Saccharomyces cerevisiae S288C: one gene and its partner. The protein of the gene in region 1 purifies or fractionates together with the protein of each later gene. This does not show direct contact. Each region holds a gene or a part of one and is shown on either strand. Other genes may lie near its edges.

Region 1 (5,375 bases):
TGTAGTAGTTCTTTTTGCGGAATTTCAGCTACTTGTTCATTCGTAATGCTTATGTTGGTATCAACTTCAGTATGTTTAGCTAATTGTGAACTGGCGTGATCATAAAAGGATGAAAAAATATTAAACCTGTCGGAATATTTCTCCATATCCAAGAATTCTTGCATTTCCTTTATGCGCATTTGAAACTTAAATCCTGTCATATCATCGTTGTATTTACCTATGGGATAAAACTCATTGTTCCATATACTTAGAATATCTGGCCTATACCCATCATATTTTTGTACTGTCTCCTGAAATTCTAGTATTATTGGACAGATGTCATTTAATCTCATATCGTTGTAATCTATATAACTATCACCGTTATCTTCTAGTTTCAATTCATTCAGCAAAAATTTTAAAATAATTCTCCATGCATCTTTTTCACATGAGCGATTCAAGATCTTGTAGGCAATTTTAGCGGTGAACATTTTTCTAAAACAACGATAGTACTCAAAGCCAAATTCGTTAAAATACACAGACGAGACCCCGTAAAGAAATTCTATCATTTTCTTCTTGTCGGCGTACTGAATTGTTTTGAAGCGGTCTCCTCTGAGAATGAATGCCGGAACAATGACCAAAACTTTGTTTGCGACAATTTCCACGATTCTATTGGTATAAAACTTTGTCAATGAATCCACCTCTAAGGCATCACTGTTAAAAAAGTAATTGTAGCACTTCTCTGAGATATGAATGACCATATCCCACAAATCTTGGAAACTCTTATAAAATTTTGTAATATTGCAGTCATATTCATAAAAGATCATTTCTCCGTGCAGCAAACTTAGTGAGAATAAATCTATTATCCATTCCATTTCGAAATCAAAATGACGCATTGTTTCTTTTTCGTTTTTCGACAGGCTTTTTAAAATATGAAAGTTTCTTTTTAAATCATTTATTAGTCGGTGCAACAAGTTCAAATCTACCTTTCCTGGATCATCGTTCAACGTATCGTTTATCTTTTTCATCAAGTTATCCAGGGTTAACATTCGTATATACCATGTGGGTGTATCTGCTTCTTCTTTGAAATGGCACTGCAAGGTTTTCCCAATTTGACATTCTTCACCGCTAATAAAACACATCTTCCTGTCCCAAAATAAAACATAACTCCATATCTTTCTGAAAACTGAAATGTAATCGCTAGGTTTCATTATATCGTATGAAGGCCTCGTATGTCGGTTTATTTTAAATGAATATTTTTCTGGATGAGAGAAGCAATACCAGTTAATGCCCATTTCTTTACATGATGATATTATTGTCCCCATTAAGATTTGACAATATTGAGTTTCGGGTCCATCGCCATCTTCAGGGGCACACCAGTGCAAGAACCTTAGTAATATGAGACATTGCAACTGTAATAAATTACATTTTCTGAGGACCTTCGTCTCGAACAAATAGTGTTTAACAAGAGCCAAAAACTTAGAGGTATCAATTTCTTGAAGAACCGGGTATATATATGGAGTTAGCTTCGAAAACTGGACAGAAAGTCGGCATATTTTAATAATCAACAAGATTATGCAGAAAACCATATGATCGTAGTGTTTTATAGAAATTGGATTCCCTTTCTCGACTATATTTTGATAAAATATCGTTATTTCATGACGCAAAACTTTCATATCGAAAATCGGTATCATATTGTAAATTTTTTCTTCAAAAAGTGCTAAAACCTCACTTTCAAGTATTTTTAAAGGAGGCAAATAATCCTTTGCTAATATAGTTTCTGAGCTGAATTTTTTAGCATTATTTTCTCTGTATTGAGCGAATTTGTTAAACAATGATTTGTGAATAGTCTGATGCATGCGGAAGTTATTGCCCTTACCAACAACATCATCGCTAATGTGGCGTTCGTCATCAGCATCGAAAGTGGATAAAGCTTCGAAAGATTTAGGCAAGCTTCCATTTTTCACATTATTGCCGTTGCTTCCCAATTTATCCATCATTTTTTTGATTGCGATACTTCTAAATGTTACCATTGCTTGGAGATAGGGGTCGCGATTTTCAATTGCTCTATCCGTGAACAGACCAAATAAATTATCAGCAGACCTTTTGGTCTCTAAATAAAACCCATTAGGGATGAGGTCAATAAAAAATGGAGTTTCTTCATGAATTGGTAGATAATAAAGTGATGATTGATTTTCAAGTTCTCGTACTCTTTGCCAGTGATCTTCGTCTTGTCTTGTCTGTGACGATCTTCTTTTCTTAATGAAACCTGGACTTATTCGTTCCGCAGGAGTTGATTGTTTCCTCAGAGGGTCAGCATCATTCAATGAAGGACTGCTTTCAGGTTGTCCAGAGCTATCGGTGAGATAGACACAGCTGTCCACATCTCCCAGTCGTACACATGTTCCACATGGTTTCGTTCGATCGCACTTACTTTTCCTTTTTTTGCAATTTGTGCATACTACAGTAATTCGATGTCGTTTTTTTGTCCTAACTTGGGAGTCATATCCCATTATGAGATCAGTTGTCAACTAAAGTCTGGTATCAATTGGTTTCTAGTTTCTTTCTTCTCTTCATAGACTCATAACACTGCAAAATCGCAACAATAAATTCATGACTTATTGTTATGCAAAAAATTACCCGAATGTGAAAGATTAATAAGCTCATCGCAGTCGCAGAAAGAGTGAAAAAAATACCTAAGAATGCCTAAATTAGCTTAAACAAAAGTCATTTCTAGAAAGCAATGAAAAAAGGGCAATCTAATGATACCACCACGAATCGTTCCATGGAGGGATTTTGCTGAACTAGAGGAGCTGAAACTTTGGTTTTACCCGAAAAGCAAAGGAACCATTGAAGATAAGCGACAGCGTGCAGTGCAAAGAGTACAGAGCTACCGACTAAAGGGTTCCCAATATTTACCTCACGTGGTGGACTCTACAGCACAAATAACATGTGCGGTATTGCTAGACGAAAAGGAAGCGTGTTTAGGAGTACATCAGGATTCTATTCCTATCCGGTTATCGTATGTAATGGCTTTGATTCGGTTTGTCAATGGCTTATTGGATCCAACGCAACAATCTCAGTTCGCTATTCCCTTACACACATTAGCTGCTAAAATTGGACTGCCGTCCTGGTTTGTTGATTTGAGACACTGGGGTACACATGAGAGAGATTTACCTGGATTAGAAATGCTTCGTTGGGCCGCCAATGAAGCGTTATCTTGGCTATATGATCACTACTGGAACGATGAGGAATTAGAAGATGACAGGGATGATGATGACGATGATGATGATACCGGTTACGGATACAGAAGAAATGATAAACTGGAGAAATATATGGAGTCATTAACTAAAACACTTGATAAATGGAAGCGACTTAGAAACGAGTTTCTGGAATACAAATGGGTGTGGGAGAATGCAAACGATAGTTTAATTACAAGTAGTAACTTTTCTGGGGATAATTTGGTGAACTATGATGCCGAAAAGAGGAAAAGTTCACACGCAAGTTCATCAGAAACTATGATCAGGGAAAATTTGCGTCAATGGCAAGAACTTTGGAAATTATCCATTTATCACAATGTGGTTCTTGAGAAATTTTTTAACAATTATGACCCACTTTTACTCAAAGTTTTAATGCTTAATTTGAACAATTTTGATTGGAAGGTCATTGAGTGGGTAGCTAGGAATTACAGAACCCAACAAGATGATAGTAATATAACGACAATTTTAAAAAGGAAATTCAATGCCTGGAAAGAACTACAAAAAAGGCTGTTAGATGTTATTATAAATAACCTTAACAATAAAAATTTTAAAAATAAATGGCAAAATTGGGAGAAACTTATTGATGAAAATGCGTCATACTTGATATTGTATTTTTGCCAATCTATGCTGGCCAAACTAGAGACTGAAAAAATTACTGGTAACTCATGGAGAAACAAAAAACGGAGAAAACAAATTGATAGCACAGTGGAAATCGAGGCAAAACTGAAGGAAAACATAGACAATTTATCATTAAGGTTTAATGAAGGTGAAATAAAGCTGTATGATTTTATTCCTGCGGAAAAAGATTCCGTTCCATTGAAGAAGGAAGTGAGTCCGGCATTAAAGGCTGATACCAATGATATACTAGGCGATTTGGCGTCTTTGAAACAGAGAATGAGCAGTTTCGGAACAGTAGGTAAAAAAAATAAACAAGAGGAGAACAGAGCTACACCAGTAAAAAATTGGTCAAGGGTTCAAAATTGGAAACCCAAACCCTTTGGTGTCCTGTAACCTGTTTCCAATGCTCGTTATAAATACGTTGTAGACTATAAAGCTGAGTTGTATGCTGCACCCTAACGTGCATGTATATATAATCACAGTCTCTTTAACCTAATATGCAAACGAAAATGATTTAATCAAAACAACCTCATACTCTATGGGAATAATCTTTCAAGATACCGGTCATATGAGTGTTAGTAATCTTACCCTTTCTTTGTCTCTTCTTTTTAACTTCAACTCTCTTTGTTTGTCTTTTGATAGTAGCAGGATCGACACTAGCAGGCTTTAGACCTAAATCTTGCAGCTTTCTTGGCAATTCTGCAAATTGCGGTAATTGCACATTTTCCCACATTTTAACAAACTCCTCGTCAATACATTTCAAGTTACCACCGCTGTTATACCAAACGTATCTTGGAGTTTTATCCTTTTTAGTTCTTAACACCAAAATTTTGCTGTCTTCCTCCAGTTGGTTAATCGTTTCATCGCATTGTGGCCAACCGTCTTTCAAGTCTTTGCAGGAAATACCTTTGAATGTTACTTGTGAACGTAACAACTTCAGCAGTTCCGAAGGGGAATGGACATCGTAGGTGGAAAGGTATTTGAAAGTCCCCTTCTTGGGGTCAAACTCTATTCTATCTAATTTTTTTAAAAGCTCAATAACCTTGTCATCTTTTTTCATTGACAAGTAGTCCAATAACTCATTCACCAAAACGGGCTTACCTTTCTTTTGAATGTATTCAGTCGCCCAAAGCAACTTTGAAGAATCGTGACTCTTGGAAATATCTGTTTGATTTGCTTGTAAAGCGGCTGCAGCAATAGAGCCAGGCCTTACTTTTTTTGAAGGAGAGCTACCAAAATCTTCGTCGTCATCGTCGTCATCTAATGAAATAGCATTAGAGCTATTGCTCCCAGCTTCTTTCTTGATATCCACTAACACAGGATTTTTCGCAGAGTTCAAAGTGTTTTCTTGCGCACGTTCGGAGGCCGTCCTCTTCCTAGTGTTTCCATCTATAGTAATCACTGTGTCATTGGTCTTCTTCTGTCCAACTTTAGCGGGTGCGATCACCGGGGCAGACTTCACTTTGCTTTTGAAAGCGTTCAAATTAGCCAGTAGAGGGTCCCTGTTTTTACTCATCGCAA
Region 2 (5,085 bases), on another chromosome or scaffold:
AAGATGTGCTTTCGTGACTTGAGCGAAGGGGTTGGCGTTGTATAGCATGAACTTCCCAATATGTTGCATTCATCCCTGGATGATAACAGACCAAAGACCAAATTTGATTTTAAGTTTAGGAACTTAGAAAAAAAAGGTAGTGCCGTATTCGAAACTTTCGCCGTGGACTGCCTCTCTTTTCAAAAAAGAAGAACAGACCATGCTTTTTCTCCTGGATCTGGAAGAAAAAATACACGAAGCGTATAAATCAAAATAGAGTTCGGTCTATTGGCTTACAAGGATTTCGCTATTTTACAAGAGGACGTATATTCATATATTCATGCTTCAGCATGATTTTCTCTTAACTTAATATGTTCCATTTTTTGTTATAAAATATTACTGTTCGTCGTTTGTAAGAGCAGACACTATTATCTTAAAAGAGCTTTTTTTTAATTGTATGAAGATTTTATAAATTTGCGAAAACCTAAATTTACCATAAAATAAAATGCGCACGAGTAGTTCTAACGCCTATTTGCTCTTGAATTGTCATACCGACTTTGCTTGTTATTCCGAGAGTAGCTGTTGCCGCTGTACTGTCCACTATTTCTATTTCCGGAATAGTTATTGTTCCTGTAATTTGAATTTTGTCTGTAATTATTGTTTCCACCATCATACCTGCTATTGTTGAAGCCGGGTTGACTGTTGTAGCTATTCCTACCATAGTTGTGGGCGGGTTGGACATTATTTCTACTGAGCTCAGCAAAATAAAAGAATGCTCGATAGCCACCAGTTCTTGGTTTGTACTGAGTAATACCCTTTGGTCCTACTGGAACAATATTTTGCTTCAAATCATTACCAAAGTTCCAGCGACGGGAGTAATTTTGGTTATTATACTTGTACATTATGGAATCAAGGTCATATGCTGTTAGTACCGGTTCTGACGGAATGAACCCGTTCAGTATAATAGACTTATTTCTCGATGGCAACGGAATTAATCTATAGGACATCTTTAAAATCAAGGTGGTAGATAAATTTGGCAGTGACCCACCTTGAATCGGACATACAATTTTCCCATTTAATTCGAAACCTTCAACGTCCTTTGATACAATACCACTTAAACCACTCTTGAAGTGTTGAAACTTCACAACAACATTGTTGTTGTTGTTTTCCTTTGAGTATAATTTCTTCGAAAACCTCTCATAATTAGCATTCTTGTTACTTATTAATAAAACAGGTTCTCCGCGAATATTTCTTGCCCTCTCAGCATCAGAAAGTAAAGGATATTGTGCACGAACAGCTGTTAACAGTCTATCCTGATCGATGAATGGTAGCAACGCTATGCCTTGCCAGGACATCTTCTTACCATTCATATCTATGGGAAATTCTTCAGGATAAAAATCAATGATTTCAGAGTCAGGTTCAGACATCAAAGACCGGAAAATTTTTGGCAAAGCATGGCCAGATGCAGCTGGTAAAACACTCATCAATTGTTCGTAAGGTAAAAATGGAGTACCTTCTTCGAACTTTATCTCCAAGTGAGAAAACCCATGGAAATCTGTTGCCAGAGGAGCATAATGGTACGGATAGAACCAATTCCAAGAGGCACAACCTTGATAGTAATACATTAGTACCCAGGCGACCCCTTCGATATAGCATTTTACCATATCTTTTCTTAACTGTTCAATATCTTGAGGAGTAACGTGAAATTTAGCTGTGTAATATCTTTCGTGGTAACCAGGTTCGAATAGTTTGACAAATTCATCTGTATCAAAGACCCCATTTTTGGGACCTTCGCTGACATTCACTGTGCTGTGGACTGGTGAATCTCTTGATACTTCTGTAGTTTCAGAGTTTTCCCTGTCGTTTACGTCAGCCACAATCTCATCTTTGATCTCTGCATCGAGATCGCACTCTGATTCCGCTTTCTCTGTCTTAACTTTTTTGCTATCCTTAGCAATTTCTTCCTCTTCATTATCCTTTTCAAGACGGTGTTTCTTATTTATTATTTTCTGTTTCATAACTTCTGCAAGGTTAAAATTAGTTTTGTTAGCCTTACTAACAGCATCATCAATTTCTTCCTTGCTGATATCTTTCATCAGTTCATTGTTCTTATCACTCTGTTGCTTAACTTTGGCGATTGCTTCTTCGTTCCCCTCGTTCGCAAGCATCAGTTCCTTTTTCAACCTTACCATATCACTGGTGGTCAAGTTCCATGAACCTTTTGCTAAATTTCCTTGTGTGTCATACATTTGCAGTTGCTCCGTAGCTACTGTAGGATGCCTGTCTTGACCTTTTGACATATTTTTCTGCGCTTTCCTTCTTTCAAAAGCTTCTTTCTTTCTGGCTTCTTGAATATGTCTAGTTTTGAAGATATCCCCCTCACGGGAGCCAAGGTGTTGCAATAGCGTTTCAACAGAAGGGAGGTTCAAGACACCGTCGCAGGTCATGTACGTTTTCAATTTCGGTAGTACTACCTTCCAAATATCCAAGAGAATATCAATACTATTTTCTCTGACATCTAAGCATGGTAAATGTGGTAAAAAGTCATTACCACAGAAAAAGCACATGAAAACCCAATCGTCGATAGCCCTTTCTAAATCAAATGTAAATGGAAGACCCGGAACCCATAACTCAGCGGACAAGTATTCCCTCAAAACATTTATGTGCAGCCACAAGAAAGGTTGTTCGGAATTTTGTTTTTGGAGAAATTGTTTTTCTTCTTCAGTCATATTTATAGTATCTTTTAAGTTATTTCTTTTCCGATTGTCTTGAGCAAAAACATCTTCTCTTAGAATTTTAAAATGTGGTTCATGAGTGGCAAGGCCCAAAAAAATTAAATCAGCATCCAAACCGTATATACAGTGCGTTGTGTTGGGATTATATTCAGGATCAGCTCTTTGAGACCTAATGAAATTCATTATTTTGTGCTCACCTTCACCTGGGACGGTGGCGTCACTGATAATCACCTGCAGGTTTTTCCAACCAGGGTCAGTGGCCAGTTTAAATGCTGTCCAATAACGGAGGGCCGCGGCAAGCTTATCCATAAATGGGGTGCCTGGAGTGATCGCATTTGAATCCCAAGTTTTCTTGTTCCTGACGGCATCATCGATTATCTCACCAACTTCTTCTCGCTGTCTCATAATTTCTTCCCTGGCTTCGTTTTCAATCTGAGCATCCCTAGCACTCCTAAATCTACGCGCTCTCTGCTGGTTCATTTTGGCACGAGGAGCAACACCATCAACAGCCATAACAAGTACCTTGCGTGGTCTAGCCATATTTAACACACGATTGGTATATTCAAAAACTGCCAAAAGCATTTCATCTTCAGTCTCTGGAGGCGGTTTGTTTTCTGGGTGCGAACATGGATGAACAATACCATTCATATCCAAATACAAGTTGTCTAACTCACCGTTTGGATTTGAGGCGGAATAATCCAACGGCAATATGACACCGTCGACTATCTGAGGTTGCTCTTCCAATACTGGGGATATGATCTTTGGATATTTTCGAGATAGCCATCTGAAAAATGACGGAACACCCATTATATTACGAAACTTGGCTGTAGCACTTCCTTGAAGAACCTGTCTCACTAATTATTACGGGATGTCTTTATGTTGTAATAGGTTCATCGATGAGGTTTGGTTTTTTATTGCCATAGCTGAAAATCTTATCTAGATACTCTCGTTACCCGACTTATCATTCCCGAGACGCTCAAATATACAACCTGATGAGAAAGTAAGGTAATATACCTCCAAATGTTCAAGATTATAAAATACATTGCAGTGCCTTAAAAACGTACTTCCGATATTATGTGATAGTAAACTTTTCGTAGTTTTTCATCAGAGATGGGGAAAGCTTTTTTGGTGAATTGATTTTACAACTACTTGTTTCAGTATACTATAAAAATCGAGTAAAATTCGTGAATCTTTGAATAGAAAAGATTTCGTGAACATATCTATAAATTAATCACTTTCTTAACCGATATAAGATTTTAGCCCGGTGATATAGGCTTCAATCAGCAGTTACGCTTTTTTGCTTTAATTTTACTGTTTATGGAGGTAAACTAACGCTCCTGCTCTCTTTCATATATCAACAGATAGGTCTGTTGATTGATTCAAATAAATTTATTTTCCTTATGTGCGCCATAATTATATGACCCTATAAGCTGCCGATAGCGGATTTTCTGTTCTCTATGGGAAACTCTGTAGTTTTCTTTTTTTTAGTTTAGTTCGTTCCCAAAAATGGAAGAACGTCAAAACAGTGATCTACATTAAGCTGAGGCGAAAACACTAAACGAGGAAAGTTATACGATGGCACAGGAACAAAATAGAAAGTATGTATGACGTTGAAGGCTGATTAAAGCATTGAAAGGGGAAAAATACTTGTGAACTAAAAAATGTACATATTACGATGTCGAAATATAAGGAAGTAAAAATGCTGTCCGGTTCTTTTGAATAGGAGAAAAAATAAACAGAACATAGTCGGGAACTTCGAGAAAAAAAGTAAGAATTGAAAAATGCATATGAACGATCAGATTGACATTCAAATTCTACGTATCACTAAAGTTTAGCCTTCTTTTTAGAGGAAAACAAGTTAGCTATTTTGGACATGAATTGTTTGAAGGTGCTAATCGGGTATTTCATGCTTGCTTGGAATTCCTCCTTTTCAATATCAAATTGTTTTGAATCCGAAGTATCTAAGATATCTTCAACATCGTCAGTATGTGGTAAAGTTTCAGGATCAACATGGCCCGGTGTGATTGGAATCGAGGTGCTTCTACCTTTAAACGCAAATCCAGGGTGGAAGATGGTCAAAGTGACCGTAGCGATGGCCATCATTAATGCATCTAAGATAATAAAATACCACTCGTGTGTGATCAGATAGCCATCCCAACCGACAACTAATTCAGCCAAACGGTAACAACAACGGGTAAAAATGGTTAGTACCGCAACGGTTATTGCCAGATTAAAATAATGAAAAACCCAACGTTTAGGTTCGAGTCTCAAAAAATGGAACTTTTCCCTGTATAAATAATCAACTTCTGTTTGCGATATCTTTAAGAGGCTCAATGAGATAGGTCTAGAATTTATGTGTTCCCATCTTACC

The links. Proteins that work in one complex are often made in the same cells at the same time.
Region 2: the proteins of LAS1 (region 1) and RAT1 purify together in Saccharomyces cerevisiae (affinity purification with mass spectrometry; 4 studies listed by BioGRID, with this or other methods). This does not show direct contact.

Annotation. Positions count from the first base shown.
Region 1 is NC_001143.9:559,661-565,035, reverse strand, and holds LAS1 (rRNA-processing protein LAS1), read left to right. Parts: upstream 1-2,738; coding exon 2,739-4,247; downstream 4,248-5,375. Other genes in the region: OAF3 (Oaf3p), read right to left, coding at 1-2,489; transcription factor TFIIE subunit TFA2, read right to left, coding at 4,384-5,370. UniProt on the Saccharomyces cerevisiae protein: Regulates cell surface growth, bud formation and morphogenesis. May act indirectly by regulating factor(s) involved in these processes.
Region 2 is NC_001147.6:418,130-423,214, forward strand, and holds RAT1 (ssRNA exonuclease RAT1), read right to left. Parts: upstream 3,522-5,085; coding exon 501-3,521; downstream 1-500. Other genes in the region: phospholipid-translocating ATPase RSB1, read right to left, coding at 4,539-5,085. UniProt on the Saccharomyces cerevisiae protein: Possesses 5'->3' exoribonuclease activity. Required for the processing of nuclear mRNA, rRNA and small nucleolar RNA (snoRNA) precursors.